Linked DNA regions of Nothobranchius furzeri. The protein of the gene in region 2 purifies or fractionates together with the protein of the main gene of each other region. This does not show direct contact. Links are inferred from orthologs where the notes say so. Each region holds a gene or a part of one and is shown on either strand. Other genes may lie near its edges.

Region 1 (3,821 bases), on a different chromosome or scaffold from region 2:
AAGAAAGTAAAAAGCCTTGCACATAAATCTAAAAGATTCATTTGCTACTTTAAGGATTCTAGCCAAGCAACCTTTGCTTAACCCCTTGGCAGATTCTTTTACTCAAAACAAAAACATTTCTACCATATTTATGAATATTTACCGCATTAGTGCTGTTTTTGAAGATAATATTTTTAGACAAAACATAAGATAAAATGTCTAAAAACAAGGCTTTTTTAGGGATGTCCGATCCATTCAAGTGTAAAATCAGAAATTATCAGTATGAGTTTTACTCTTTAACTTTTACATACCATGCACGGGTTATACATCTCTTTAGAGTTACAACTCTTTAGCTAGTTCTCCTCTCAAAATGACATATATGACAGATCCAAGGTATTAGCTTGAGATATTTTTCTTTGGCTCAACTTGCGTAACTTTAATTGAGATAGTATTTTGCAACTTTAGTTACCTAAAACAATTTTTTTTCCTTTTTTTTCTTACCCGCATATATCGGGTATCTATTTAAAAAAAAAGCCTATTTCGTAAATCCCAACTGTTTTTACTTTCTTGAAAATCACTTTTTGCAGTGTACTATTTTTAATCAGGCAATAAGAGATAAAACTGACACAAAGTATACACTGGAAAAAAATTAACAAATAGTCCAAATAAAGGAAACTAAACTCTATGTTGCATGTTTGCCTGAAAATGAAACAGCTGTGGAGGAAGTGGAGAGGGGAAATGAAAACTACATAAAATAAAGTGGTGCGAGAGACTTAACACTGATATTAAGTTTTAAATGACCAATTGGTTTTATGGATGTTACGGAAGAAAAATGGCTGCAAAATAGTTATCAGAGTTATTTCTAAGAGACCTCGCCTCAAACTCTCTTTAAACTGACAATAAACGCAGAAAATGATTTACAATGGTAGTAAGTCTTCAGATGAGATACACCTATCTACTGAGCTGGCACTGTCAGAATGACAGCTATTTACTGAGTTATTACTGCTGAAAGCATCCATCCTGAAAACAGACATTCTCACTCACACACACACACACACACGCACGCACGCACACGCACGCACACACGATCATCAAGGTCACTGAAGCATGACAAATTAGTGCAGCTACTGCAGATTCCCTCACCTGGGGATGCTGAACAGACAAGCCTTCTGTAGGGACATTGTTGGCATCTTCCTCATTCTAGGAGGAACAAAATCAGAGGGCATAGTTGTGCAAATGCCTGCTAAATATCAAACCAGAGCACATTTTATGAAGACAAAATGCAGTTTAACCAACATTAACGGACTCTGATAGTCTATTTTTCTTTTCTTACTTGGAAATCACAGAACTTGGAGGTTTAAAATTAGGATACAAACATTTTTCTAAATGTTAGTAGGATTACTAAATGAAGCAAAGTGTTTTCAAATTGTTAATTCATATAAATATAACGAGTACAAGGATGAAAAACTAACTTACATTTTTGGCCTCATATTTGAGCCTTCGGGACTAAACAGAGGGGAAAAAAGAACATTTTCACATAATCATGCAAACAAATATTAAAATCTATTTTAAAACATTCCTACAGAAAAGAAACAAACTGCTCATAATTTTAATATTTGCAGTGTTTTTTAATGTTTGTTCGCTCAATACTTTTTTTTCTTTTTATGATACAAAACTGTCTGAAAGTAACAGGATTACCATAAACAGAAGGAAATGATCATGATATTCCTTCAGCAGTGTCTTTCTTTTTTAAACCATTGTGAGATATTATTAATTACATCATCCATTAAAGTTGAGTCTTTATCAAAAGGCTCTTTGATCAAAGCAATCTTCTTCCTCCTGTCTAAAATCCGTACAGCAATCTTCCAGCTCACTATAGTGACCTCATGGCAGACTTTCTCAGCCATCTGCTATAAAACTAACTGACCAAGGAGGGCAGAAATGAACGAGGGTGGTGCAGAACAGTTTGATCTGTTGGGTTAGGTGTGACATGCACAGCTTTAATAACTTTATGGATTTTGTTGTGCTCACCCTGCCCTGATTCACCGCCGCCTTCCCCTCCTCGCTGCCTTCATCGAGCTCGTCGTCGCTCCACTCCCAGTCTCCATCCTCCGTCTTGTGCAGGTGGCCACTGGAGCCTGGAACTCTCCTCACCTTGAGCAACACAACACAAATTCAGCCCGTTTAAAATTGCATTTGTTGCTTTTAGATAGAGCGTGAATGAACAATATTCTTTACTTAACAGGTCTTTAAATATTACCACCCGTAGATGCACAAGGTTGTATTCCTCATCCCAAAAAACTTGAAATTGTCCATAAACGTGAAAAGAACTAAGATGAAATGACCTGCAAATTGTTAAAAAGTTGTTTATGTTTAAGACTAATATGACGGGCTGATATTTGTCAATATTTGCAGAGCTGATTTACAAACAGGCACATTAGCAGGCAGCCCGTGTTGCTGCTAAATTTTATTTAAAGGTGCAGTAATAGTTCTTGAAAAAAGCTGTTTGACCAAGCTTTAAAAATTTTTTTTTCAAAAGGTCCAACCCCTTTCTTAAGGTTCCCTGCTAGCGTCACAGTAGCCGATTTTAGAAAACAATGCCGTAAATTTGCCGCATTACCGTGGCGGCGTCAGGGAGCTTTAAGTCATTTATAGGCGATCAGACCATGTCGATGGGTCAGACACAAGCCCCCACAATGCAGGTCAAAAATTGAGGCAAACGCGGAAGTGAAATAAATTGCAGCTCCACCCTCATTCGCTGGGGGCTGGTGTCAGAGGCGAGCAAATCCTCATTGACTCCCATGTTAAAAATACCTATTTCATAGCAGAAATAAACATGTTTACAGCCTGGTACCAAAACATGTTTTAGGTTTAAATGATCTAGTTTACACTCATGACAACTCTGAGGGGGGAGAATTTTTTTCAAACTCTTCTGTTTAAGTGTATTAAAAGCCTAAAATTCTGTATAATTAATGAGCATCAGACCCACGTGACCACCACATCAGACCCACGTGACCACAGAGCTAGCTCCGTAGAAAGGCCTCAGCCTGAAAACTGGTCAGTCATTTTCAGTCTCTCAACTTAGACCCTTAGTTGTGCCATTTGTGTATTCTTTTTTGGATATTATTTGTGCAATTGTTGGACAAAATGACTTGCTGTGGCATTAATTGCACTAATAGAGCGTCCAAGGAGTCTCCACTTCATTTTTTTCGGTAAGTAAAATTATATTTATGTATTTTAGGTCACTGCCGAGCTGAGCTTAGATTTTAACATGTACTGTTTAACCATGAAATTTAAATGTAACAGGGTAAAACCCAGTACATTTAACATAATGCTGCACTTTACAAAATGGGTTGAAATATAACATGTTGGTGGAGCTGGGTTCCGACTATCGGCTTGTGGAGCTCTCGGGAGACCTCTGTTTTCCACCCGTTTCTCCCCTCCCCACAGCTCGGCGCATCTCTGATCGCCGCGGCTTCTGTCTGCTGCGCGGGCTGCCGGCTTGTGGAGCTCTCGAATGGAAACCGATGTTTTCCACCCGGTTCTCCCCAGCGGCAGCTCTGCGCATCTCAGATCGCAGCGGCGCTTGTCTGCTGTGCGGCTGCCGGCTTGTGGAGCTCTCGGAGACCTCTGTGTTCCACCCGGTTTTACCCAGCGGTCAGCCCGGCGTATCTCTGACTCAGAAGTTCAGGTGTTGTGCACAGTTAACTCCGGTTGAAGCTAGGTTGCTACCTCCGTTAGCTTAGCTCCCACCTCCGCGTTAGCTTTGGGTTAGCTTCAGGTTAGCTTGTAGCTAGTTCGACCGGGTGTCGTCAGTTGATCCCAGCCTTACAGCCCCACCC
Region 2 (3,821 bases):
TGCATTTAACATAATGCTGCACTTTAGAAAATGGGTTGAAATATAACATGTTGGTGGAGCTGGGTTCCGACTATCGGCTTGTGGAGCTCTCGGGAGACCGATGTTTTCCACCCATTCTCCCCTCCCCGCAGCTCGGCGCATCTCTGTCTGATCGCGGCTTCTGTTTGATGCGCGGGTTGCCGACTTGTGGAGCTCTGGGATGGAAACCTTTCCATCCGGTTCTCCCCAGCGGCAGCTCTGCGCATCCCAGATCGCAGAGGCGCTTGTCTGCTGTGCGGCTGCCGGCTTGTGGAGGTCTCGGAGACCTCTGTGTTCCACCCGGTTTTACCCAGCGGTCAGCCCGGCGTATCTCTGACTCAGAAGCTCTGGTGTTGTGCACAGTTAACTCCGGTTGTAGCTAGGTTGCTACCTCCATTAGCTTAGCTCCCACCTCCGCGTTAGCTTTGGGTTAGCTTCAGGTTAGCTTGTAGCTAGTTCGACCGGGTGTCGTCATTTGATCCCAGCCTTACAGCCCCACCCTCAGCTCCACCTCTCTTCCCTTTTGTGGAATTGTCTGGGCTTGACGGAACCTGTGACACGGTCAAAATGGCGGTGGTGGCCACCTCCCATTTAGCCTCAAAAACGTGTTATTGGAGCTATGGAAACCCATTGTCCAATATTTATATGTCTATGGCCACACTACATATAGGTAGTATGATCGATGTTGAATCCACACACAAACAGTAAGTACCACCTTAAAATGAAATGTCGAGAAAGCATGAAAAACACAGGCTGGTCATGTGACAAACGGAAAGCATGGAGATGAAGGTCCAAACAGGACATGTTAGATGTTGGATTTTCTACATGTCAAGATGCTGAAGGAGAAAGAAGTGAATAAAAACACACTACTTTGGTATTCGCTGCATCCTTCTAGATGCATTTCAGTGAAAGTTAAGGTCAATGGCAGATAAATACTCTAGGTTTGTAATGTATGGACAGACAAGGGACAGAGACAGAGACACGAGCAGAGGGAGGGACAGGACAGGCAGATGTTACACGAGTACAGTGGCTACAGTAAGTTAACGGGACATTTTATGAGAATAAACTGGCTATGTGGGTGTCCTCTGAATGGCTTTTTGCTGAACCTGAGACCAGACCAAAGGTGAGTCACGAGCACCAAGAGACAATGTAAATATGTAAAGGTGAAGCAATACCTGGCACGACTCCGTTAGTGGCGATTGCACTCATTGAAATAGCGGTCAGCATCGTCTAAAGAAGACAAACAGTCACTTAAACACACAAAGGGAGGGTTGATCTTGTCTGTTTTCAGTCGAAGGACACAGAAACTCACACAACAGCAGCACATGAAGACGATACAAAGAGCCTGCAGCACCCCGGCGGTTCCAACTACCCATGTTAGACGCAGGAACAAGATGACTCCAAAGATGTTCTGCAGGCAAGGCAGGTAGACGCCCATGAACGTCCCCATCTGTGGAGACTGGGACACATCAATGGGACTAGTTAGTTATGCAAACTCTAACAGCAGGGCCCCACACTGTTTAGCTAACTGCTACATGTTAAAGTGTAAACCCAAACCCAAGAGTCACGGTTTCGGCTGTGAGTCTCTTAGTAATGTCCACTAAAGTCTTTTGGTTGACATTTGATAAGATGCTTTTCTGCACAAACCTGGGTTACTCAAGATGATTTGTTTCACAAGGAGCCAAAGCACAAACCCTGACATCATCTGTGAACATTTGTTTAAATCTTACTGGAAAATCCTCCCATGATGCCGACGCTCACACTGAACACTGTAGAACCAGAAGGCAGGGTTAAAGATGTGTTGGTTCAACATTTCTCCTGCTTCAGAGTCAGAGCCGAGTGAACACGAGGAATTCTTGTGAAGCACCAAAACAAACTTATCGTGGCTGAAGGCCTTTTATCAGGGAGCACATCAGTGCAGATCAGGTTCAAATCCCAACGCACTTTGAGTCTTAGATATGATTCTGGACAGGAACTCATCGACTGGTGTGGTCCCTCACAAAAGGAGATTCCTCCACTATGAGCTGCCAGTGCAAGGTCAGCTTCTTCATTGTTATTAAAAATAAACAAAAACAGGTCAAGTCTAAACACATTTTCCACAGCCAGGACACACGTTAACGTGTCTTTCAGTAAATGCTGGGAGTTCCTGTGTTGTTAGTTGATGAAATTATTTTGTCAAAATGTATTTTTGTGGTCGTTTATGAAATCTCATCAAACTTCATTCCAGCTTTCTCAGAAGGTCTGACCTTTACGGTAGTTGTAGAACAAAGCACGTGGGACGCTCAATTAAGTCAATAATTATCTATCTGGGAGAAACCAGTCAAGTTGAGGTTTTGTTTTATTGTTTAAGCATTTGACCTGGACAGACATGAGGACTTGTGTTTGTAATGGAGACTAGGAAAGGTTTGCTTGTAGCAGGAGGAGTCACCTTCAATCAGGGACTTCCTGTCAGAGTGATAATGTTCCAATAATGTTAGCTTAAAGACAAATACTGCTAATACGTCTGCACACCTTGAAGGTTTTCTTCTTGTCACTGATGCTCTCAGCCTCCTCGTGCTCCTTGGCCCCCTGCATCAGGTTGGTGTAGTTAACCAGGCGGCTGAGAAGAGACGACACTTTGGGCCGCGTGTCCATCTCCTCCTATTGGTCAGAAACAAGCAGGGGAGGCAATGGTAAAGACGGTGGCCTTGGCATCGAGAAAGAAGGGAACAGCAGATGAAGAGAGGGTAAAAAGGAAAGGAGAGGAGACCCGAGGGAAGGAGGGTGTGAAAGAGAAAAGGTGAAGAAGCAGGAACCTGAGCCAACAAACACAGAGGTATAGAAAAGGATCACCCCAAGACTTTAATTTTTTTGCTTTACAACCTTAAAAAGGAAACAAACAAAAACACATTTTACCAACGTTACTTACTTAATGCACCCAACAGCATTCATTGAAGAATATCTGTTACAGTTTGGAATAGAATAATCTTTATTAATCCCACTTTAGGGAAATGTTCTTGCTACAGCAGCACATACACTTAAAGAAAAGGAAGAAGAAAATAAGATTACAGGTAAATACAGGAAAGAAGAGTTTAAAAAACAAGAAATGCTGAGATGAATAAAGGATCAGCCACCCTAACAACACATTTCACTCACTCAGAGAATGTAACCACCATTTCCTTAGCTACGGGTTACTGGCCTGGGATCAGTTGTAGCACAGAAACAGCTGTTCCTGTGGCAGACCACTATCACAAGGTCTCAGGGACAGGGTTGTGGACAGACACGAGGCAGGAAACAGATACAAAAGCATCTCAAAGGCTCTACCAATACCAAGGAGCTCAGTAAAGTCTAGAATAAACAAGTGTCGTTGTTTAATACTAGGACCCTCCTTCCAAAGAACACAGCTAAACAGACCACTCAGTGGTTGGAGGAGACAAAAGTGAAGGTCCCCGCGTGTCCCAGTCAGAGCCCAGACCCGAATCCCACCGAATATCTGTGGAGAGATCTGAAGATTACAGTCACCAACACTTACCATCCAATCTGACCCAACCTGAACAGCTCTGTAAAGAAGAGTGAGCGAATATGGCTCAACCTAGACGTGTATAGAGAAGAATCTGCTGCTATTAAAGATATTGGCCAGAGGCAAAATTCCTTTGAATGGCATGTGTAAAGAAGTATTAAAACCTCAGGTGAAAAAGGTTTTTGGATTTTCATGGCTGGAATTTAAAGAAAATCTGACGTTTTTTACCGGCGCGGGAAAAACAGAAACTAACTTTCGGTCTTCGCCCTGGGCAGCTGGTGACGTTTCACAAGGAGATCTGCTA

What was found.
Region 1: the proteins of solute carrier family 12 member 6 (region 2) and stk39 purify together in Homo sapiens (affinity purification with mass spectrometry; 3 studies listed by BioGRID and IntAct, with this or other methods). This does not show direct contact. The link is inferred for Nothobranchius furzeri from reciprocal best matches to the Homo sapiens genes SLC12A6 and STK39.

The regions. Positions count from the first base shown.
Region 1 is NC_091754.1:20,095,202-20,099,022, forward strand, and holds part of stk39 (STE20/SPS1-related proline-alanine-rich protein kinase), read right to left. Parts: intron 2,134-3,821; coding exon 2,011-2,133; intron 1,486-2,010; coding exon 1,456-1,485; intron 1,180-1,455; coding exon 1,123-1,179; intron 1-1,122. UniProt on the Homo sapiens protein: Effector serine/threonine-protein kinase component of the WNK-SPAK/OSR1 kinase cascade, which is involved in various processes, such as ion transport, response to hypertonic stress and blood pressure.
Region 2 is NC_091742.1:80,351,636-80,355,456, reverse strand, and holds part of solute carrier family 12 member 6, read right to left. Parts: intron 2,659-3,821; coding exon 2,530-2,658; intron 1,478-2,529; coding exon 1,331-1,477; intron 1,249-1,330; coding exon 1,194-1,248; intron 1-1,193.